Linked DNA regions of Schizosaccharomyces pombe. The gene in region 1 interacts genetically with each later gene. Each region holds a gene or a part of one and is shown on either strand. Other genes may lie near its edges. The genes, in order: pho842 and pqr1.

Region 1 (12,740 bases):
CTCCACTTTCAAATATACCTGTTGCCCATGAATGTCCAACAAACCAGTCGAAGTTTCTAAACATAGCAAAATAGGTGTCACTTTCACTTGGATTTGCACTGTCTCTTAATAAAGCATTTACATAGCGAATGTTATCATTAACCAGCCAGGAAGGATCCAATAGACCAATTACCGCACATGCGTAAATATGATAACCCCAGTGAAAATGATGGTCATTATAGTAGGTATTACCATAATCTGCTAAAGGAGAACTATATCCTGCCGTACTGATGATACCTTTATATGTGGTATCATAAACGAGGGGATACATTTGCGTATTCGTAGTAAATCTAGCCATGGCTTGCTTCAATTTTGTCAATCCAGTGTTAGTGAGAGTGCTATCACCAAGGATTCTAGAAGCTACCAAACAAACTTGAGCATACATGGCTACTATTTTTCCAGACGTGTACATTGAGTCAAGGTTACTGGCATTTACGACATCGAAGTTAATATCAGTTGCACAAGCTGCACGAATCGCGGCTAAAGCAGTAGGAGAATACGTATTGCTTCCACCATTCCAAGGAATTGGTAAAAAACCTACCTGCGTTGGAAGATTTTTTTCGATTAAATGCCAAGTTTTAGTAGCATAGGCAAACATTATACCCATTGTTGTACTGGCTAAGCCTAAACCTGTTTTGTACGCTTGAGTGTCAGAACCAAAACTTTGCATATGATGGGGAAGAGCAAACATTAGCGGATTTAAGTTAGTATATCCAGCTGTAGCGAAACGAAACCAATATTCCCCGGTGGTACCGCTAACTTGAGCTGATAGAGAAATAGACGTAGTATATACACCAGCAGAAGCATCATAGATGGTATCCGGATATGAATTATTCACGCTTTCGTTTGGAACTTTACATATTTGTATGAGACCGGTAAATTTTGTAGAAGTAGTTAGTTGAGAATTCGAAGCAAGAGTCAAATTGAAGGTACTGCTCGAACTCGTAGGAAATGCGTAGAGAAACCAGATCTTTCCATCTGTCAATTGAATTCTATATTTGTAGCCCCTACTGAAATTTATTTTAGTAATTGATGAGAAAAGGATGGAGGAATTGAATACAGGAGTCAAATTGGTATAATAACCACTTACAAATCCCATGCCAGCAACAATGGGTAGGATTATAGTCCCTGAACCAGAGGTTGTAGCGCTAAGAGTAGCCTGGATAGAGAAATGACGAGATTGGTCAAGGGATAAGAGGTTACCCGAAGCAAATTCTCGTGCAGAAATGATTATGGAATAAAGTCCAGCAGGATTAAAGTAATATTGGCATGGAACCGATTCTGGGTCTGGTCCAAACACGCGTTGGCTATCATCAATATGTGAAATCGCAAGTCCATAATAGCTGCTACCATTGAGCCAAGTTACTGAGTAAGGATGTGACCATGATGGATTATGACGGGTGCCAATGTACAAGTTACCATAAAACTTGTTTGTTTGAATTGGAAACAAATTACTTGTTAGCCCAAGAGGAGGAGATGGGTGTGCTCTTGATGGAAAAACCGGATTGATAGGTCCAGTATAGATTGGTACTAAAACATCCATTATGTCGTCTGACTATGAATTGAGCAAAAAAATTTGATAACGAGTGAAAGAATAAGAAAGGATCGAAGCAAAATTTCTAAAAGTCTAATTTCGGATGCTTTTTCGAACTGTCGATGACGGGTTTTACACTAACGAGAGTTTTAGGAGTATGCCACCTCAAAAATTTGGAACTAACTAAAAAATGAAACAACACTCAATTATTTGTCTTAAATAACTTAGCGAAAGTAACAGTAAAGACGGATAAAAGCACTGCGCTGAGAAATTCACCGGTCCTAAAATATTTATGAATTCACGCAAAAGTACTGAAGAAAAACTGTTAAAAACAGTAGTTATTACTTTCACTATTAAAACCCGATAGAGGGTGAGGACAGGTTGCAAATTCTACTCAAAACTGATATAAACCCCATCTCATGGTATCATTGGTTCAACGACTAAGCTATAATATTAGATCTAAACAAAAAACAAAAGAAACATATTAAAACTTTACAAGTAACTTAATAGATTAATGCAAATACTGCATAAACCTTTGTATATTTATTTATTGATTTTACATACTGCAAGTTTTTGTTTGATTTAATTTAATGCGATATTGTAAGCAAAACATTTTTTAGTAATGCCAAACAATAGTAAATAATTGGAAAACAAATAAAAAAAAGAAAAAGCCAATGTAAATGAAAAGAAAAATAAAAATAAATAAAAAGAAGGATAAATGAAAAGCAAGCTTAAAAAAAATGATCGCAAACACTGATTATAAGCTCTAAACACAGTTAATGCCAAAATTTCATTAAAACACCATTCAACAACAAAACTCTTTCATTCATTCTCGTTCTTGTTTCTTTTTTGTAAACTATCCTACAAACTGTATGGAACATTTGAATTTCAAGCTTATTATTCATGACGGCGGAAAGAGTGAGAGTGCTTAATAAATGTGACGTACTTGAAAGTTGTAGCGACTAGCAAGATCTATTTCAAAAGTGGTTTCTTTCTTAACCAAGTAGTAGGAAATTTTGATAGAGAAATTTATTATGGAAGCTGAGAAGTTTGTACTAATTACAGGGTGTAGTGAAGGAGGCATTGGAAATGCGTTGGCCTTGAAGTTTCATCAAGAGGGTTTTCAAGTCTTAGCAACAGCGAGGCAGGTGGAACGTATGGATAACCTGACAAAAGCTGGCCTTCAAACATTAAAACTCGACGTTACGGATGAAGATTCGGTACGAGAGGTTGAGCAAGAGGTGCGCAAGTTTACCAACGGCTCCCTTCATTATTTAATCAACAATGCAGGAGCTCCCTGTAGTGCACCAGCCATTGACCTGGATATCGAAGATGTCAGTAAAGTCATGGATGTTAACTTTTATGGGGTAATTCGAATGAACAAGGCGTTTCAACATCAACTTATACGTGCTAAAGGAACAATTGTGAACGTCAATTCACTCGTCTCTTATGTTCCCTTTGCCTTTAATGCAGCATACAACGCCTCAAAGGCTGCCTTGTTGGCATATTCCAACACGCTGCGTATAGAACTGGCCCCCTTTGGAGTCCAAGTGACTAGTATTATGACGGGCGGTGTGCAAACCAAAATTCAAAGCAAGCCTCTTGGCACTATGACAGAAGCCGCTATTCCAGAAAATTCAATTTACTATCCATACAGAAAACTAATATTGGAAAACAGAAATCCCGTAGAAAAGTTTGTTACGATTGAGGAATTTGCAGACGCTGCATACCCTCAGTTGGTAGGCCGTGGAAGGTGGTATCAATTATTCAAACCAGGTGTACGCCCTGCACAAATTTGGGCGGGTTACATGAGCAGTGCTGGTAGGGTTGGCTCGATGCTTCCGGTCGAGGTGTTTTCTATGTCTGTACGGTTAATCGTAAAACTGCCGTCAACCGCTGTATGGAGAGACCACACTGTTGATTAATTTCAGTGTTGATAGCAGTCTGATATGTGTTTCTCTTTTTGGAACATTGGCATTGGAATCAATTTTGAAATCGTTGCATGTATTTTTTTGTAATTTAATGTCACACTTTTTTTTATAAAGCAAATGAAATGGAAGAAAGTATTGTCGAGTTTAGGAAAGAAAGATGACATTAAAACGGATGCAATGAAAATGTAAGTAAGACAAAAAAGAAGTAACTTTTTTTTTATTCATTAGATATTCAGAGAACATCCAATATTAGGACAACATCTTTTAAATATATTTTTGACATGCGCGCAGCTAGTATGCAAGTGATTTGTGCAATGACAGTGTACAACAATTCATTAACATGTGGATAAAACTAGGAAAGAAATTTAAAATTGTTAATTTCCTCGAACAACGTACGTATTTTCGGCCGATAAGATAGCTGAATTGCTATAAACCTCTATTCATAAAATACTTTTCCTTTAATTTTTACTTCTATTTGTTTACCAAATAATGAGGGCTAAGACACTGTGGGAGATTCACCTAAACGCATACTATGTGAAACACAATAACGAAATAAAATCACTACCAGGATTACTGTGAGAAAAGCTATCGTACAAAAGCCATTTCACTCCGCGTTATTTATTGAGCAGCGACAGGGTGAATGAGTAAGTAAGTGAGCGATGCTACCAATTCGTAGCACAATGTCCATGTACATTCGAAGAGATTTATATTTGTTGGTGAAATTTCATTTTGTTTAACGCTAAATGTTTTGTAAAAGTATCGCTTTTTTTTTTTTAACCAGAAAATTGTTCTAAGCAGCGCCTTTTGCTAGTGCAACAAGGTGCAGTGGGATACAGGGACATGACTCCCACCTTTCTCAGCTGTACTTTAAATTGCTACTCTCTGGTTAAATGTCCCCCACTTAGTACTTTTTCTGTTTAAATGTTGTAGTAAAGACAGAAAAGTAAAAAGCCTATGTTGCCCCCACATAATCTAGTTGTCTATCCAAAAAGAAAGCCAAGTCAGGCCTTGTTATATTGTATAGCTTAGCTTATCTGTTAAATGTTTTTGCAACAGACATCCAATGCAGTCAATCTGCCCTTCAATAGTTCACTCACTTATAATTAAAAAAACTGTATGGATTCTCCTTTACGTTTGCAAAACCACACACATGTAGCTGTTGAGGCAATTATTTTACATCTTTCCTGATTTTTCCTTTCAAACATGTTTCTCTGTCGAATGTATGTCCCGCCGAATCTGTTTACCTTGTCAAATAAATGTATTTACCCTTATAAATGGTATTCTTATCTTTGTTTCCGATTTGTACATCAATTAACGATGGAGCACATTGACCAGCTGGCTTATATTGAGTTGCGCTACTAATATGGATGCATCGTAGTTCAACTTTGAAACAGCGAAAAGTAAAGCAAACATGTGATTTACTATGTAACTTATCATCATGTTGGGTGATAGGCAATATTAACATTTGTTACAAACCAGAAAACATTAGAAATCGTAGAAAAACGTTGCCTGATCATCGATAGATGCAGGTTGTTTCACCTCAACAAATGACATAATTTCTTTCTCGGCATATGATTAAAAAAAATTTTAAACATACTCAAACTCGACAAATTTCACTATGAAATGTTAGAGATGTGCCTTCCTACCGATTCCCCTTTCGATTTCCCCCTTTCAATTTTTTTAACCGAAATCCCTTTGTCGCAGTTGACCCCGTTTCCCCAGTTGTTGTTTTTTTAACTAGCGTTGGAATTGGTACTGATCCCCAAGTCCCGTTCCCCAAGGTGTGTATGGATGGAAATTTTTAATCTCCCAAGTCGGAGTCTTACTCAAAGCTTCTGTATTCCCTTCTCATAGTTTTTCACATTTCTTCGCATATTCAACGTTTATTACAGATTTGCTTTGAAGTGCAGGATGCGCTGTCCATCCCACATTGTGGATTGGTCAAGTATGCAGAAATTTTGGGGCAAACCGTCCAATTTCGTACAAAACGGTGTTCATCTCATATCGCTCTGCCTTGTTACTCAATGTTAAAGTCAAAACATTTTATGGCGCAAGGCAAGCGGAGTATGTATGCGGCATATGGCTTGTGGGGAAGTCATGAGTAGCTTTTTTGTTGTTGTTACAGTTTGACATCTAGAAGAAAACAAAAGACCAAAAGAAACCTTTGTGAATGTTGGAATGCTACAATATTTCCAACACTTTTTTGCTACACAATTGCTTTCATCTTTTTTTTTTTTGGGGTTTCTTTTTTTCTTTTTTTATTTATTTTTTTTTTAGCTGCAGCCGACATACCATAATCTCCAGCGACGACCCACCTTACTCACTCCAATCTTTGCATCTACTTTTGTTCCATATAGCCTTGTTCAAAACATCCATCTCGAAATAACAAAGTATGGACATCGTCGTTAAACAGATTTAACTTTTATCTTTTTCGTCGGCCTATTTAACATTGAGAGATATAATTTATAGTTTGGTAGCTTTGGACCAATGGATCGAGTGTTTGTTTACCGCTTTTGCGCTGCGACTCCGTGGCGAAAGTGCGCTTTTTGGATGATTGTCAAGTGTGCCATTTTCGACGTAATAATTGGTGAATGTTAAATGACTAATATGTTACATTGAGTCGGTCTTTGAAAATCAACTGTAACAAGCGCCTAAGCATCTTCAGGCAAAAACACTTATTATTTCTTCCTATATAAGTATTGCCTCTGCCGTTTGTCTCAGCGTGCTTTCACCAGTTTGCTGCTTTCGCTATATAGGCAGTCAATTCATCCATAAAAATAAATTCGACTTGATTCGAAATTGCATTTCATCCCATTCTCAATTTCTTTCTCTCCTTTTTTGAAGGCAATTGTCGCTTTAGTTATTACATTTTTTGTTGGAGAACTCACTGACTTCGAATAATTCTTTTTATTTTTCTCTTTCTCCTTTTTTTTTTCTTTTCCTTTTTGAAATCTGTTTTTCTTTTCTAAATTCTACAAATCTTGACCGAATTGTTTCAAAAACCTTCCATTTAATCTGTACATTCTTTCTCTTTGCAGGATTTCCCTTTTTCTATATATAATTTTTTTCTTATTGCAGTTGTTGAAAAACTTTTCTCCCCAATTCAACTCAATTCCTTGATTTGCATTCCTGTTAAACAATCTATTCACTACACTATGAATCGCTTAAATCCTTTTTCAAAATCTCACTCCAAAAACTCCAATGAAAACAACGAAGTTTCCTTGGCTGATGTCGCCGAGTCCGATACTCGTCGCCATTGGCTTGGTTTGACTAAACGAGAATTCAAGCTCATGGGCTTTGCTGGTGCCGGTTTCTTCCTCGATTCTTATGACTTGTTCATCATTAATCTCGTCTCCCCCATTTACGAATATTTATACTGGGGCGGTTTGGAGGGCAAAAAGCCTCACTACCCTTCCGGTATCCATGGTCTTGTCAACGCTGCCGCTAACATTGGAAATGTCTTTGGTCAAATCTTGTTTGGCTTCATGGGCGATTTCTTTGGTCGTAAATTTGTCTACGGTAAAGAGATGATCGTCGTTATTATTGCTACCGTCCTTGTCATCGCCCTTCCCAAAAGTATACCTACTCCTCTTGGTAAAATGATGTGGATCTTTGCTTGGCGTTGGTTGCTGGGTTTAGGAATTGGTGGTGACTATCCTATGTCCGCAACAATCACATCAGAACGCTCTTTGCTTAGTCGTCGTGGTACCCTTCTCTCCATCGTCTTCTCCTTTCAAGGCTTTGGTACTCTGGCCGGCGCCATCGTCACTATCATCCTCTTGGCCTGCTTTGAGAAGCCTCTCAACCAACGTGGCGAGTACACTAAGCTTGAAGGTGTATGGCGTCTTCAAATGGGTTTGGCTTTGGTTCCTGCCCTCCTCGTTTTGATTCCACGTCTCACTATGAAGGAATCCAAGTCCTATGAACAGTCGAAAGCTCTCAACAAGTATACCGACAACGATACCTACATTGCTGACGACGACGAACCGAAGAAAGATAACCAAAACGTTGTTGAAGAAAAGCAAATTAATTTGACCACCTCCTCGGACTCTCACCCTACTTCTACAGAGGATTTTGGAGATAAACGTGCATCCACTGTTCCAACTTCTGAGAATACCAGTGGATTTATCGAATATTTCAGTCAATGGCACCATTTCAAGCATCTCTTGGCTACTGCCGTGTCCTGGTTCCTACTCGATATTGCCTTTTACGGTGTTAATCTCAATCAATCCGTCATTTTAAAGGCCATTGGCTTTAGTTCGGGAAAGAATGAGTATCACACACTTATGCGTGGTGCTATCGGTAATCTCATCATTGCAATTGCTGGTTATGTTCCTGGTTATTGGTTTACAGTTTTCCTCGTTGAGAAACTTGGCCGTAAATGGATCCAACTTCAAGGATTGTTTATTACCGGTTTAATGTTTGCCATCCTTGCAGGTAGTTGGGACACCATTTCTACGGGTGGAAGATTTGCATGTTTTGTCATTGCCCAATTTTTCTCTAATTTTGGACCCAATGCCACTACTTTTTTGTATCCTGCTGAAGTTTTTCCTGCACGTGTTCGTGGTACCGCTCATGGTCTTTCTGCTGCTTTGGGTAAATGCGGTGCCATCTTGGCTTCTCTGTTGTTTAACTTCTTAACATCTGTAATTGGCTATGGCAATGTCATGTGGATTTTCTGCGGCTGCATGTGGGGAGCAATCTTTTTCACTTTGCTTCTCCCTGAAACCAAGATGCGGGATGCCGATGAAATTGATCGCGAAGAAGTTTTGCGCGGTGGTAATGGTAAAACTCACCAGGGCCGCTGGTCTTGGTATTTCAACGGAATTTTCTAAATTATATCATTTACTTAATTTTTTATTATTAAAATTCTTTTTTGTTAAAAAGATAACTTTTTTTGCATATAAAATCATTTCTGGATTTTTGTAGAAATTGAGTTTTTAAAGTTAATTTTTGTTGATGATTTGCAGTCAATGTTAATAATGTTTTGCTGTCGGATTGTTTTTCTTTTTTCTTTTTTTTTTCGTTTTCTTACCGTTGATAAAGCTGAATGAATACGTGTATCGTGCCATTTCCATTTCAGTTTTGTTAAAAGAAAAATAAATTCTTTCACCCATTATTAAGACGATTTCAGCGCTCAAAAGCTCGCATATTTTTTACTTTTACTCTTTCCTTTTTTTAATTTAATTTTAATTCTTTTTCTATCCGGGAATCATCATGTGCGCTTTTTGGAATCGCTAACTGAATAACCTTGACAGTATATTTTTACAAGGTTCCTTTAATATTTATATAATTTAATTTAATTAATAAAAATTTTAATATTGAAATTTGTTATTTATGATTTAATTTATTTTAATGAAAATTTGTGATTTATTAATGCTAGCTATTAGCGCAATTGTTTACATATTACAAATATTTATTAGTTTGCTTGTAAAATTATTTAATGGTTGGATCCTTTTTAAACTTAAGAAATCAATAATATTAAAAAGTTTTTTTTAACAACATGATTGCTGCAGACAAATTTTATGTGCTAATATTTATTTAATTTATTTCCTTCGCAGGTAAAAAAAAAAGACGAGGTAGTTTGTCAATTCACACTAATTTAGCCGGAGATAATATATTTAAAAAAATTTAAATTTGTGATCATTAATCAAACGAATAATCTTTTAACTCTCGAAATAAACTTGTCAATTGTAGCCCTGTAATTCAAGTGTTTGTTTACGTTTAAATTCTTTGGAATGCGTTGTTGTTCCATATTCATTTAGCGAGTTTTAAAGATCGATCCATTGAGAAAAGTAGAACGTAATATCACTTTTAAAAGAAATACGGTGCGCTTCTTTATTTTATCCCAACTGAATTCATTGTTAGTGCTACAATTATGAGAGAATGACTTCGTACGGTGAATCTGCTAAACTGTTAGACGTCCACTGTAAATCAAGACTTAAGTAAGAACAATGGATTCACAGCTTTCTGAAAATCTTCTTAAATGGTACGTTTAGCTCGTAGATACTCAGTGTCTTTAAATTAACAAGAATTGCTGTAGCGTGAATGAAACTTATCGTGGAGCAATGTTAGTCAGGAATGGACTCCCAATTGCAAGTATGTAAAATCTAAAAAATAAAAAAAATACACATATTGTATATTCATAAGTCTTTGTTTAATTCTCAATGCTTTTGTTTTTGAGTGATTTATGAATCAGTTGACACATATCATTCAATCTCTCTTTATTAAGTGACTTAACACTTTGCTAACTTTTACTAAAGCAGCCGGAGATGTGAATGCAGAAGAACAGCGTGTCATCTGCGAATGGAACAGCAATGCCGTTTCTGAAGTCTTGCATCTACATGACAGCAATACGAAGATCTTAATTGCAACTAAAGAATCATGTGTTCTAGGATTAATTTATCGAAATACATAAGGGTGTTCAATTTAATGTAACATCTTTCTATCTTTAAAAACTTGCCCTTAATAGAATTAATGGTTTCGCTGGCGTTTGCTAATATCTTTTTCTGCTCCTTTTTTTATAATTTTTTTTTTAGTTGTGAATTCATGCTTTCGCTTTTTTAGTAAATTGTTAATCCGCTATGGCCTTATTCTCTATCTTTTGGAGGCTCCATGTCTTGTTTGCATTGTTATATATTAGAAAGTACCATGCTATATATATTTTCAAATTTGTAATATATCATTATAAGCTTTATAGTTACCTTCGGTATCAGACTGATCAGTTGTAAAGACAAATAATCTTCTCTTAAGCATTTAGTATCTAACCTTTAGTTACATGGGTAATTTTACCATTGGAATCAGTATGGAAATTCACCCTATTTACGGAGCCTGTTAGTGCTATTTCACATTTAGTAAGACATACCTATCTGGCATAAAGTCCCTGGTACAGAAAGAATTGGGTTGTAATACTCGGTAGCTTTTTGGGAGTTCGCTTTCCTCGACAGTCTGTCGAAATTTTGAGTTAGTTGTAACGAAAGAATATAAAAAAACAACAACTATGAACATCTAATTTAATGCATACCGCTCGAGGATCATCTTTATTTGGGAAAATATATTTTCCTACTAGCTTACGCTCTTCAAAAGGTTTATCGCCATGTCCTGGGTTGCGTGATGGATTCATCGTTTTCAAATATGTACCAATACGGGCTAATTGAATGGTAAAGAGTCAATTGATTAAAGTCTCAGTGTAAAATTACTAAATTTGTAATAAGCGAATGCTCGACCTACGGATATACACTGTTTTGGTATGGTGCTATGGGTAAATACAGTGAGACTAAGTATCCATCTAATAATGCTTTGCTAATTATATAAAGTACAAGTGATTAACTTATTTGCCAGCAGTTACCTCATGCAACCTTTCCTTTTACTCCATCTACCAACTGAGAATATGTTTGATTTCACTAAACTACTATACCTGTTTTCATTTACTGACTCAGTATGTTACGCACCAAAGGATACGATGCATCTTACAAAGTAGGTACAGGAACAGGCGAAGCAGGAAAGATGGTTGAGTATGGAGTGTAGCATACACTATTTATGAAAATATGGCTCTACATGGTCGATTCATGCAGATGATAGGAGCCTACCTTATCGATAATGCAATCTTGGTTTAAACTGTTTCTAGCCGGCGTTATAAATGAATAATAAACGAGATTATGAGAAATCAATATTATTTCAAGCATCCAATCGAATTTTTTATTATGTTTAAAATAAACTCAATTGAATATTAGTAACGCAAAAATGCTGACTCCCATAAGTCTCAATCGTAGTGGTTGCAAATTTTCATATATAGAATAGATTCCTAGAGATTTCCTTTTGGTACTGTAATTCTAAGATATTGCTAATATGGCAATTTATATTCTATTTTATCTTCCTATGAATAGTATTCTTCGCTAACGTCTATATAATTGATATCCTTCTAAAAATAAAACAGTTAGGAATTAATTAGATTTCCATAATTAAATTGCGTTCAACACCTCATTTTTCAATGTGAGTTGTCCGAGAATTGCATTGAGTGAAGTCGCAACCGGAGATGCATTAGTCGTATGATATGCTTTTCTTAATAAATAATGAATAGGATTTGAGTATAATGAAGGGTGATTATTCAAACATTCAGCGACTGTAGACATGTCCATTTCCTGAGACTTGCTTAATGGTAAATATCCGCTCACTGACTTATCTGCTACATAACGTTTCAAAGACCAGCATAAGCGGCTTTGCAGAATGGGACGAATAGTTAGGCTAACATGTTCATAAGATGAATTGTAATCATCCAAAAGTATCGAGAAACAATCTACAGCTATTCGTTGCCTTCGATTAGAAACAGGGGATTCGGTAGATGGAAAGAAGTTTCGAGCTGCTTCCTTTTGTATATCCAAATTACTTCTAGAGATGACCATATCCTCTGTATTTCGCATTTGATAGTAAAACGACCCTTTACAAAGAGTAATATAATATTGGGCAACTTCATCAGATAAACAGTTTAATTGCAAATGCGGTTTCCACAAATTATGTAATTGTTTCAAAGACGAAACATCCTCATTTTCAAAAACATCTTCTAGGCTCCAAACATACTCATAATCAGCATTAGGAGAAATTATAGAATTTGTAGCTTCTACTGTAAGTAGAAATAGACACTGCATCTTTTCAGCATCCTCAATAGCATCACTGCCCTTAAGATCCTTGAAACAATTAATCATTAGTCTCACAAAACACTTTGATGCAAGTACCCATATAGGTAATGTTGACTGGTTAACGCGACTAGCTTTCGGACAACGATACTTGAGTCGCATTGGTACAAGTAATGACTCGAACATATGTTGCATGGTCCCGCGATTTAAAAAATCTAAAGAATGATTTTCGACAACATTTTCCGCGTTTTCAAATATTTTTTTGGACAGGCAAATTAAGGTAGGAAGAGATGCTCTAATTGTTTTCTCTTCGTTGAAAGCATAAGTTAAGACATCGGACCATAATTCTAATACCAAATGGTTTAATTTAAATTTGCTTATCAATAAGTCTGTAAGCGATTCAACGGCAAGCTGTAAAGAAGAAAGAAAATCGACATCTAACGCGAAAGAAGTACTTTCTTCATAGAATACAGCCTTGCGTACTTGAAGCAATGAATCCTTAATTTCTTCAATACCAAAGTTGTAAGCTTTCAATAAAAATACAACAGACTCAATCAGTAAAGTTAAACCCTCCTGAGATATATTTGCCAGTCTTCTTTCGGA
Region 2 (12,537 bases), 1.9 Mb from region 1:
CGCCTTACAAATGCTGAAACGGAATTTAAAACTCCAGAAGACACAATTGCCTTACCATTTTCTGCATTGGATATACCAGACATGGTATTGGTTTTGGCTAGGTTGGTACCGATTCATGACCACTATACTTCAGCAAAGTGAATGCTACCTTATTGCATTGCTAACGAACTGCAAAGCACATTCATTGACAAAGGTTAAGGAACTAAAACTTGATTACGAAGTGATAGAAAACAAAAAAAGAAACGGTGAACAGCAGTTTAATAGGAGCTATTATTATGAAATGGTGATAATTTGCACAGGTGCTAGTTTTATTAATTCTACTCAATTCCGCATCAAGTAGGAATTTAAAAAAAACTGCTCCAGCAGTGACTTGAACACTGGGCCTCTTGCTTACTAGGCAAGCGCTCTACCACTGAGCTACAAGAGCTGATGTTATCCCCGTATAAAATACAATATATAGAGAGCGTAGTAAAGAAGTTTACCTTAAACAATGAAACGTATTGACTGTATTTGTTAATTACACAATGCACTTCTTTTGGATTCTGATTATCTAGAGCCCTTTTATTTGTCTTTAAAAAGATTTGTTAACTTGATTGTAGGTTGAACTATGTTTTGAATACAATTGAAGAGTTGCGACCAAAATCTATTACAGTTGTTGCCTGTATCTTATAAGCTATCTATTATTTAAAGCATGGTTTCTTAAGTTGTAAATGACATTTGGAAATGACTATTCATGTTTTGAAGTTTAGCATCAACGTATGGTGTTTAGGTTGTCTAAAAATTTAGTTAAGAGGAAATTTGGCATCGCTGTCCCCTAAGGATGAATAAGCTATGCAAATCCATGTAAAGTAATGATGATATTCAGCTTTCATGTATTCCTCATTTCAATAGATCCAAACTTATTTGAAGCTGTTTTTTTATTTGTCTTTCTCGCCAGCTTCAATATTGAAGGTTCGATTTTTTTTGTACTTCTTCTTTCCTTACGTCCTCATGATATTCGTATATCAAAACGTTCCAGTCTTAGATTTAATGTTGGACGAATGCCTACGTAAAAATATAAAACGTTTATCGTTCGATAGTAACTAATTTGATTTTACCCGAAGATTAAGAACAAGAAATATATGATTCATTCAAACTTTTATATTTCCAAAATTTTTTTAACAGGATACCACAAACTCATGATGTATTATTTCATTTAAATCTCAAAAACCCACAAAATCTATTTCCAGGTTTTATTGAATGCATGATTTATTAAATATATATACCTCTTTAACATTCATTGAAAAAGTGTATATCCTATTAAGGAAGATCAGAAAGTATGTGTTTTTTTAAATACAACAGCAAAGTTCCGATTGACAAATTATATGTTAGCTTCTGTGACGCCGAAATTTACGTTTTTTTAATTTGTAAGAGGAATAATTCTGGCTTACTTGTTTTCCAATAACAAGCCCGTTTCTCATAATCTTTTTATTTTGTCGTTCACTCTGCAGATCTAAAAATGGTGACGAATCTTTGCTAGCAGTTGTATCTTCATTGTCGTCAATGCCATTTTCCGCATCTTCGTCTATTTCAGGAAGACCTTCTAAATGACTTTTGGAAAGATTCATTGAAGGGGGCACTAAAACGTTAGTTCAGGTACAAACAGGAGAAAACCTTACATTTAACAAGACGATTTTGTCGTTTAATTTTTTTCTTCATAGGTTGTGATATGTCTCTATCTACAAGGCTTTCTGAAGATGAGCTACTAAAGCTTTCAAACTCCTGCAATATCTTCTCTTCATTTGATCCGTAATCATCTTCAATATCTTTTAACTCACGAAGCATTTCACTGAGACTTTTTCGGCATGGCGCATTAACTCGAAGTAAGTTAGGAGATGTATAAACTTGAAGGCGATATGAAGAGGGGGTTTCAAGAACGGTGGGAGTATGTTGAGCCACAGGTTCGGGATTTTTTGATGGAGTAGTCGGTATCATAGTTGATGAAATTTCACTAGTGTTATGTTTTATATCCGAAATTTGATCCACATGAGAATCTGCAATGGGAGACATGTCTTCAAGAAGGTTAAGTACTCGACGTGACAACTGTGGAGTAGGACCTAAAAGACTTTTATCCACAGTTTTCGGAGTAACCTGTAGATAATCATTTCGGGGCGCTTTAGGACTCTCGTTCGCTTCAGTTTCAGCACGCTGTTTTGTAGGAGTTTGAAACTTAAAGTCGACCTTTGTTTTTGCTTTTTTAGGGGTAATGGAGGATTCGCGTTTCAACTCGTAGTATTGCTTATATAAAAGCGCTAAAAAAGTTCGTTAGTTTGCTTCAAAAATTCAAGTGTATCTTTGGCTTACATACCTATTTCTGGTTGTTTCTTCACATCCTCCTTAGAAGGTTTGCAATTGTTCGTATGGACGTACTCATGTTCCCACTTCTTTAAGAGCGCTTTTATACTAGATATTTGTTTAGTTCGTGATTCATCGTGCATGATTTGCCAATTAATGCACTGCCTGGACCCAATTTCAATTTTGTAGTGTTCGATTCAAACAACTGCAAAAACAAACTCAAAACAAAAAGAGAGGCTAATCTACATAAACATATATTTCTTCTAATTCTATATGTGGAGAAATACCATTGCACAGAGTTTGATACGTATCTCGAAATGCAAAGTTGAAATGTTAATTATGCTTTAAAAGTAAAGTAGATGCACTAATGAATGCTCCATTTTACTGCTGAATGTTTACGCATACGTTAAGCAGTTTTTTAAATTTAAATAACGTATAACGTTTAAGTACGCTGTCGTTTCCTTTTGATTTATGGTTGAGCTGTATGTAAATAACCTTTGTTTTTAGCTAAACTTATTACAATATGACTGTTCAAATCGATGAATTGGACGACAAAGATTTGGATGAGATAATTGCAAACGGAACACTTGATGGCGCGTAAGTGTGAATACTGAACAATCTTAACTATGGACTCGATTGAGCCTCTAAAATAATGAAAATTCTCTAACAATTTTCTTATAGTAAACAGGGAGCTGTGGATTCAGAGACGATGATTCAATATTATCGCCATCTTTTTCCGTGGAAATATTTATTTCAATGGTTAAATCATGGTCCGGTAGTCACTAATGATTTTGCTCATCGGGAGTTCGCGTTCACACTTCCTAATGATGCTTATATTCGTTATTTATCTTTTTCAAATTGGGAAGAGTTAAAAAAGGAAGCTTTAAATTTATGCCCAAGCCGATTTGAAGTTGGACCCGTTTATAGTGCCAATCCCAGGGACAGGAAAACAATAAGGAAGTCAACATTTCATCCGCTTAAAAAGGAACTCGTTTTTGATATAGATATGACTGACTACGATGATGTACGAACCTGCTGCTCAAAAACAAATATATGCGAAAAATGCTGGCCATTTATTACGATCGCAGTTCAAGTTTTAGATATTTGTTTTCATGAGGACTTTGGATTTAAACACATATTGTGGGTATACTCTGGTCGAAGAGGTATTCACGCTTGGATTTGTGACGAAATTGCTTGTTCTTTAGACGATCGGTCTCGTAGAATGATTGCCAGTTATTTACAGGTTGTAGTAGGTAATCCTCAAGGTGGCGTACGACTTATTAATAACTTAAAAAGACCCCTTCACCCACATTTGACTCGTTCTCTCAACATTCTCAAATCGGCCTTTGTAAAAATTGTCCTTGAAGACCAAGATCCGTGGGCTTCTAAAGAAGGAGCCGAAAACCTTTTGAAATTACTACCAGACAAGGATTTAGCATCTGCTCTTCGTAAAAAATGGGAGGTTGATCCTGAACGATCTAGCAAAAATAAATGGTCCGACATTGACACTGTCTTAGCATCTGGTTCTATTGCCTCTATATCTCCTTCAGTAATTGCGATTGCCAAGCAGGACATTGTTTTAACCTATTTGTATCCAAGATTGGATGTTGAGGTTTCTAGACATTTAAACCATTTGCTAAAATCTCCATTTTGCGTCCACCCCGGAACTAGTCGTGTTTGTGTTCCCATAGATATAGAGAGGATGGATTCTTTTAATCCTTTGAAAGTACCCACTGTGAATGATCTTTTGCAAGAGTTGGATAAAAATTCCCAAAATGATAACGGCCATGGTCCAACAATGGAAACTAATACAACAGAAAACCAAAAAGATAATGCTAGGGGACAATCAAACAAGGGGCATGGCTTTTCAACTTCTCTCAATCCTTATACGCTGTACTTTAAATCGTTCAGTAGCCAGCTTTTTAAAGAAACAGTAGGAAATAAAAGAAAACATGAGAATTTGGAATTTTAAAATCGTATTTCAACAATCGATTCAAGCTTTAACTAAAAATTTGGGCATACATTTACTCATGAAAGGATGGAAGCTCTGACTTCTATTTACGTGGAGCATATTGTTTTCCGTTAAATCGACAGTAATAATATATTTTTTAATACCTCTTTATTTATCCTTTTTTGCTAAATACATTATAATAATAAAAACCAAAACAAATCAAAAGCATAACTAGTATGATTTTAAACTAGCGATTTAATTTTCTTTTTCCAATTCACTATCAGATTGATTTGACTGAGACCTAGTATCCTCAGAAACATCAAACGATTCGTCGCTTTTAAGCAAAATTCCCTTTCTTTTTGGAATGACCTCCATGAATGCCTTTTCCCAATCTCTGTACTCTAACCAAAGAGATAATATTTCAAAGACCTGATTAACCGTAAGTATTTTCCTATCCGTAATTTTAATGTATTCATCAATTGGAAGCTTTGCAGTTTTGATCCCTTGCTCAGACGCTTTATTTTGACATAAATTTTTGTACCGATTCTTGTCGACAATCGCACCAATAATATAAATCTTGTCTTCATCGAGTTCGGTGATGGTGTTATCTGAATCAGCAGAAAGATATACTAATTTTTCTTTTTGGGATTCAAATTCCTCTAAATAAGACTTAGTAGTTGGGTTGTATCGTTTCCAATTATTTTGTTGCCCCTTTAGCACAAAATCTTGTCTGGTTTTCAAACGTCCACCAAAGTTGGTAGCAAAAAGTTCTACAGGATGTAAAGCTGTACGATTTGCAGAATGACATCTAGTAACCTGTTGACATAAAGAGTTGATTTCTTTATCGTTCATCAGATCATCAAATGCACAATCCAAAACAATTCGGATACTACTAGGAACGACCTTTCCTAGTCTGATCCTCTTCTTTTGACTTTTAACTACTTCGCCAGCTTCAATTTTTCGCTTTCTTTCCTCTTTTCGTAATCGCTTTTTTTCCCGGCGCATCTCTGCTCGCTTTTCACGACCTGCATCCCACTCTTGCTGTCTTTTTAATCTTTTTAATGCAGATTTGCTAAGAACGGGTTGCTCTTGAGTTTCATTTTTAGAAACGTCAGCTTCAGAAGTATTTGTGTCATCTTTACCAATATCTAAAGCGTCTTTGTTTTCCATAATTTCCCAACTTTATTGCAGTCAAAATATAGCCTAAATTTATCTAGTTATATCGTTATTTTGAACCTAGCCAGGCTGTTCATCTAATGGAAAAAGTAAGAGTGTTGTGAAGTATAAAAAGTTGGTAACTACGCCAATCTCGCAATTATTAACTTTGGGTAATAAAGGGATTCAGGAAGTCGAAAATAAAAAAATTTTGCAAAATTGTATTATTTACAAACTTCGACAAAACAAGCTTTGAAAAATGGCAACAAACGATCAAAAAATCGATAACAAATCGACGGTATCAAATATGCTTGAAAATCCTATGTTTCAGACATTTTCAAAAAAAGAAACAGAAAAGCCATCACTATCTGAATATATGGAACAACTTACTTCAGAGTTTGGAGAAGAGCTAGACAATTTAAGGCAAAAGGAAATTTTTGATCATAACAAACTACAATTGCTTATTGAAAGTTTGCGTGCTGGTCACAAAATTTATGAATAATGGTTTATATAACTTAGCAAAAAACAGACCTGTATTATTCTATTAAAAAAGATAAGCTTGCGGTGCTAATCTTGATCCAACTTATCGTCTTCGTTCAAAAAACCATCTTCGGATGCTGTATAAAACTCGTTATCAGAGATTTCGACAAAAGTAAATGTTTTTTCTATTTCCTCAAAACTTCTCGTATAGAAGTCAGAGGAAGAAACTTTGTTCGAATATGGGGATTCGCTAGGAGCATCTTCGGGTTGTTTATTCGATTCCGCGTTTTTCTGGGCTTCTTTTGCGTGCTTTTTTATTTCTTGGTTCATTTTCCTTAAATTTTTTTTATGTTTTTTGCTGTTTTCATGGTTCTCCAATTGATTTTGTGATCGAAAGTTCTTGTTACAAACCATACACATTATTGGATTTGAATTCACAATTTCTTTGCTCAAAGATTCATCATCGCTGGATGTTTCTTCCTGATCGATTATTGTCCAAGACGCAATTGATTGGTTTTTAAAAGTTTCCTGGTACTGACGCCGATCACGTTCACTTTGCTTTCGCGATGCTTCTTGTAGGGAGTTGTATCTTTCTCCATCGCTTAGTTTCACAACGTTTTTTCTCCGTGGATCAAGATCACATGCTTTTCCTATTAAATCTCTGACAAGTTCGTTATATCGCTGAATGCAGTATTGTATCTGCCTTTGATTTTGTCTCTTCATTAATCGCCGTGTAGCTGCATCACTTTCCTCTTCTTCATTATATAGAGCTTCCCATTCAAAAGATTTTTTCGTTGAAAATCTTAGCCATTTTTGATAAATAGGTTTGGCATACGTCCAAAGCCAAGTTGTGTCCCCTAAAGTTGGAAGGTCGTCTGTGGAACCCGCTATTTTTTCGTCTTGTCGCAGTCTTTCAACGAACGCTGAGGTGCTTTCAAAAGGGATTTTCTCAATTGTTTGTAGATGCTGCAAAACGTCTTCAATTTGTACAGAATATTGGTTTCTTAGATAGTCTTTTTCATGCCATTTTCGTTTATCATCATTAGAGAGAATATTGTATGCAGCGTTTATTTGGGAAAATATTTCGTTATAGTCTTCAATGCCCGGATTTCTATCGGGATGATATTGCAAAGCTAATTTTCTGTTATGATTAGTAAAGATACACAAAGGCGATCAATTCTTCACAACTTAAACGATTATGTTTTAATCACAGATCGAAAAGCTGTAAATTTATATTCTATGTTGATTGATTAAGTTGAAAACAAGTTTTCATACCGGTAATTTGCTTTAATCTCTTGCAAGTCAGAGTCATGATTCACTTGCAAGATTTCATAGCAATCCATATCCTTAAAAGGGTTATTCATGATTGGTGATAAATAATTTGCATAAAATCATAAGTTAACCAGTAAAAGACTTATATAAAGTAGCTTCAAAGACAAAATTCCAAGGCCGAGGAGTGGAATGAATTATCAACCGCAATTGAGATTGCTTGTGATAAACTAACAATTCAATTCTACAATTGAAATACAAAAAAAGCAAAAAAATTGAGAGTTGCCCGTTCAATCGCCAAAATACAATACCTTCAGTACGTTCTATGTAAAATGGTGATCTTTCTCACAAACCGGCGACAATAGCTCCCAACTGTGTTTCAAAAAATGTAGAAAGAGACAAAAAGGCGAATTGACGAGAAACAACGAATCAAAATACTGTTAATGCTAAAAAATAAAGTAATATGCTATGGGTAAATTAAATCTGTGTTGACAAACCCGCAAATACATAATATGGTGTGGTCCCTCACGTCTCGCCAATGCTGAAGTAAATAAATACAACAAGCGAAACATAAGTTAAAGTTGTGTACGAAATCATTTGAACCCTAAATAAATTTGTGTTCTATACATGCAAACTTTAGACAGTTTGAAATCCGAAAAATCACTTTTGTAAAAAATGAATATATGAATAAATATATATATTAACATATATTGATATATGTATAATCTTAATACAGTTTACAAACTACTGTCTTCTTAATTAAGAAAACATGGTTCTCATGAAAACTTATATTGTTATTTAAGGTCTTGCTGCTATATATGCATTAGCAAAATGCACATTTCCAAAAAATGAAGTTAAAATTATCAGTTTACAAAAGACATTGAACTAAAGATCAAATTTTTCCACAACCGAATTAAAATGTAAGATTGTGTTTTTTAGAAGAAGCCAATGCGCTAATAATAATGCCATGCTTGCATTGCTTAAAAACAAACGAACTTCTTGCCTTCATGTAGCAAGGCTATTATCACGAATTTTCATGTTAATTTCGCTATGAATGCTTGGTCTTTTCTGAGTTAATCAATACTATTTAGCTAAGGTTTCGCTCATATAGAATACGAAAATTTCGCATTTATTAATGCAAATTTCCTCGATGTTTTTAATATATTGTGTTGCTAATCTGACTATATAACACTGCCTCTTCAAGGGACAAATAGTTTTAACAAAATTTGTTTACATTATTGAGTCAAGCAATTACGACCCGATGTTATAAGCATTACGCAGATTTCTTTTACAAAAGGGAGGTCTCTTTCATTTACCCCAAGCTTAGCATTACAAAATCATGTGCAAATGAGAAGACTACTTTTAGGGAAAATAAAAATCTAAACTTGATTGGAAAGCGAAAGTTTAAATCCTAAATTGTTTGAGGTTGACGTGTTAGTTTTTCACCGTAATAAGTAAATAGCATTGTATAATGAATAAAAGAAAAATTTTGATAGTTTAACAATTGCTGCTATTCATATTTTAATAGAATCTCAAAATTCATACTAATCGACTTTCTTATCCTTCTATATTCTTCAATATTTCAAACTCGTTTTAAGTCTCTCCTATAGCTTGGGATTATTCAATGAAATTGTAATTGTCGTCCTTTCCTTTACATTGTGAATACTAAAAAATTGCTTCTTCCAGAATTGTTTTATTGACTCACGGATTTGCAACATGTCCTTCTCCTCTTTTTTTTTTTTTTTTCTTTTTTTTTCTAATCTGTAAAAAAACCAAAATTTTACAATCTCGATAATCCTTTTAATGTCTATAGTCATCAAACACGTTTATCTACTTACTCAATACGATAATGTACAATAATTCCATACGAAACTTGCCCTTATCTGTTTTAGTTTTTTGTGGCACACCGTTAACTAATCGTGAATAAAATGGTTATTACAGTCATAGTCCGGTTTAATCGGATCAATCAAATATAATTAGATACCTACTTATTATCATATACATACAAAATTAAAAACAATACAAAAAAGAGGAAAACAAAGAGGCTCAACTTCTTACCGACTATCCTTTATCTCTCTTTTTTTTTTATTTTTTTTTATTTTTTCTCTTTTGGCACAGTGCTACAGAACATTTGTTCAACAACCCAACTCTGTACGTTTCACACATTGTCAGCAAATTGTTGACAATCAGCACAAGCCTCATTCTATAAAGCTAAGGAAGATTTCGTACCACTGCTGGTCTTCCAATTGCCCCTGCTTCCTTTCCTTTTACTGTAAGGCTTACCGGAAGGCCGTTTACTAATAACATTGCGAACCCGAGTGCGGTTGGGTAGTATTACCTATACCGCAAGTTCCTCCGCTCTTTTTATGACGTCAGGGGGAAATGCTTTGGTTTGCCACCTTGCGTCGTCTAACGCGGTGCAATATAAGGATGCGAAAGGACTGCAAGGATTTTCACCTGTCATGAACCAACAAGGATTTTGACGATTAGTACAGTGTTAAAACTTTTGAAATAGTATCGAAAATTCATTTACTATATGTATAAGTATTAAGGAGTTACGCATCTCTTTACAATTTTAAACACTCACGTACCTTTGGTTGAATCAAGCCAGGCAGGTCTCCGTTTGCGAACGACGGTTTCGGTTGATTCGAAACGTGGTATTAGAAAATCATTTTATTTATTTTCATTCCCATTCCATTTATCTATTCTATCTAATTTCGTCCCATTGTAGCTTGTTGTTTTATCACAAGCAGCTTTTAGGTCTTTGGGCTGTTACTTTTTTCTTCACTTCATTCCATTACTAATATATATATATTTTAATCAAAACGTACGCAATTCAACTCTGCGAAACTCTATCTTGCAAGCTTTCTTTCTCCATCTGCTTGTAATAAAGAAAATACTTAACTCCGATACTTCGATTGCAAAGGTCGGAGCACTCATTTTTATAAAAACCACAAAGCTTTCTCCTTCTTGGGCTTTGGTTTTTTATTCTGTAGTTTTACCGCCTTTCAAATATTTTGATTTCAATCTTTTGTAAAGGTTTCATCCTCTTTCATTTTCATTGAAAAAAAGTCCTTCCGATATGAAATTTGGACACGATTTTAAAAGGGCTCTCGAAAACGATATGCCCCCTGGTTGGGGCGAGGCTGCCATTCAGTACAAGGCCTTAAAAAAATGTATTAAAAGGTTCGTTTTTGAGCTGTCTTCCTTGGGTCTAAGTGCTGAGACCATCAGTAAATTGATGGCTCCGACTACCGTGGATCCCCAACAAGCTATTACGCTTAGTTACTCCCTTGGCAAAGAGGGACACATTGTTGTCCCCAAAATTATTATCAACGTAAATTTTGATAAATTGAAAACTGATAAGTTCGCTGCTTCAATGTTCAAGCAGTTGAATGCATCAAATATGATTACAACCGTCAGGAGTAATTATGCCTCAAATGTTCCTTCTACTCCTTCGGATTCTACTCAGCAGCCCCCTACCAATACGTTACCAAGTGTGTCCGCATCATCTCAGAGCGTAGAGACTTGTGAAACGGTTGATGAAGATATCGATACTCAAACTATGAGTTCTGACATGTCCGAAGTTCAAAGTATGGAAATATCGTTGAACTGTGACCACGAGTTTTTTGAAAAATTAACTTCGGAGTTGCAAAGTGTTGAAGGACTACAGCGTGAACAGCGTAAAATTCTTTTTAACGCAATTGATATCCTGAGTCATGAAATATCTCTTATAGCTTCCCCTAATTCCAAAAAGAAATACAAATCTCTTTATTGCTGGAGAAAAATTTTCGAAATTTATATGGATTCCGATATATTTATTTCTTGCAAGGAAGCTGATCAGAGTCATGAACGCACTCCCGAGCTCGCTGAGCGCCATTTGAAATGGTTTGACGATCAGGTCAGGCTAGCAAAATGTCTTCCCTCTTCCTCAAAGCATCGTGATCGTATTTTGTATGCTAAGTTTCTTGAACTTAATGAAAGTTTGTTGAAAGTTGCTTCTTTTCAGCAAATGAATAAGTTAGCCGTTACGAAGATCATGAAAAAGTTTGATAAGCGGACATCCTTAACCGCTCAACCTCTATTTTTTCAAGTTATCGAATCAGACCCTCTTCTTTTGGTCGACAATGCTTCTAAAGCTATATGCTTTTCACTCTCTTCTAAGCTATTCTCGATTATTCCTCAACTGAGGGATTTTGAATGCGCTATATGCTCTAACGTTGCTTACAAGCCGGTGAGATTAGGTTGTTCCCATGTTTTTTGTTTGCATTGCCTTATCATTCTTCAGAAACAGAAAGTTGATTTCTGTCCGTTGTGTCGTGCCAAAGAAGTTATGAAAGCCGATTCTCGCAATATTGATCACGCCTTGATGAATTTTATGAAAACATATTTCCCAAGAGAGATTAAGGAAAAGTTTGAAGAAAATGAGAACGATACGTTTACTCCTTCTTCAATTTCTGTTGTATCAGGTCAGAACAATTGTGTGATAATGTAGATAGACGACGGATTTGTTTCCGCTAAATTCCCAACCCTCTCTTAAAGGCTCAGGACTATTTTTTACTCACTATATTTGATTATCTGTTTTTTTATGTTTTCCTTGCCTAATTTGCATACTAACTTTCTATTTTTCTTTCCTCACCTAACTTTTATTGCTGTAAATAGCATTTTCGTGTGTTTCTTTGTTATAAACGTTTGCTTATAATTCTCGGTTTTTTCTTATATTTAGCTTTTTTAAATGCTTGTACATAATACTTGCTCATCACATACCATTAATCTTTACTAAACCGAACATATTTTTTAAAAATCAACATAGACAATAGACATTTATAGAATTTTAGCTTACAAAAGCTGTGTAATGTTTTAGGAAATCGTATTCGTAACTTAAATTTACCAAATTTGAACTCATTATTCATATTATTCGGAAGTTCTTGTAGTCAACCTCTGATGTATTTGTAAACTTAACGTAACTTTCAGCAACTAAACATTGATAGTCCGAAAAACAATGCTTTTATCTCAATTCCTAAGTTACCCACTTACAGTGTTTAATATGTCTCTCTTCACAGATTTTAATGAATAATTGTGCTATGGGTAGTAGTTTTTGTGTTTGGAACACTAGCAAAAGCTGTTTTTTGCTTTCTAAAACCGACTTTACCGGAGCATCAAGAAGTCCTTTGCCACGATTTCACTGAAAACTCCGAATGAACAAGATTTAAGATATTTGACAACGTTTAAATCCGAGTATTTCGCGGAGTAATTTAAGGCTGTTTACAACTATTACTAACTCAACCTAATATCGGAGTAGTTTTGAGCGTTGTACTTTTTTGTTATAAGTGGAAGTAATTATACTT

Evidence for each region.
Region 2: of pho842 (region 1) and pqr1, a mutation in one rescues a mutant of the other (synthetic rescue), as found in Schizosaccharomyces pombe (one study listed by BioGRID).

What each region holds. Positions count from the first base shown.
Region 1 is NC_003424.3:4,356,242-4,368,981, forward strand, and holds pho842 (inorganic phosphate transporter), read left to right. Parts: upstream 1-6,226; 5' UTR 6,227-6,659; coding exon 6,660-8,339; 3' UTR 8,340-8,884; downstream 8,885-12,740. Other genes in the region: cell wall and ascospore endo-1,3-beta-glucanase Eng2, read right to left, coding at 1-1,582; ayr1 (1-acyldihydroxyacetone phosphate reductase), read left to right, coding at 2,608-3,498; Ragulator-Rag complex subunit Lam4, read left to right, coding at 9,459-9,493, 9,548-9,603, 9,768-9,922; SPOM_SPAC23D3.17 (uncharacterized protein), read right to left, coding at 10,268-10,322, 10,370-10,452, 10,529-10,627; SPOM_SPAC23D3.13C (guanyl-nucleotide exchange factor), read right to left, coding at 11,466-12,740.
Region 2 is NC_003424.3:2,420,938-2,433,474, reverse strand, and holds pqr1 (ubiquitin-protein ligase E3), read left to right. Parts: upstream 1-9,648; 5' UTR 9,649-10,271; coding exon 10,272-11,684; 3' UTR 11,685-12,029; downstream 12,030-12,537. Other genes in the region: TOM complex subunit Tom70, read right to left, coding at 1-83; drc1 (DNA replication preinitiation complex assembly protein), read right to left, coding at 1,368-1,618, 1,659-2,291, 2,348-2,477; DNA primase catalytic subunit Spp1, read left to right, coding at 2,858-2,931, 3,016-4,306; tRNA m(1)G methyltransferase Trm10, read right to left, coding at 4,541-5,455; ribosome assembly protein Rsa3, read left to right, coding at 5,700-5,942; epr1 (ATPase co-chaperone protein), read right to left, coding at 6,008-7,061, 7,196-7,284.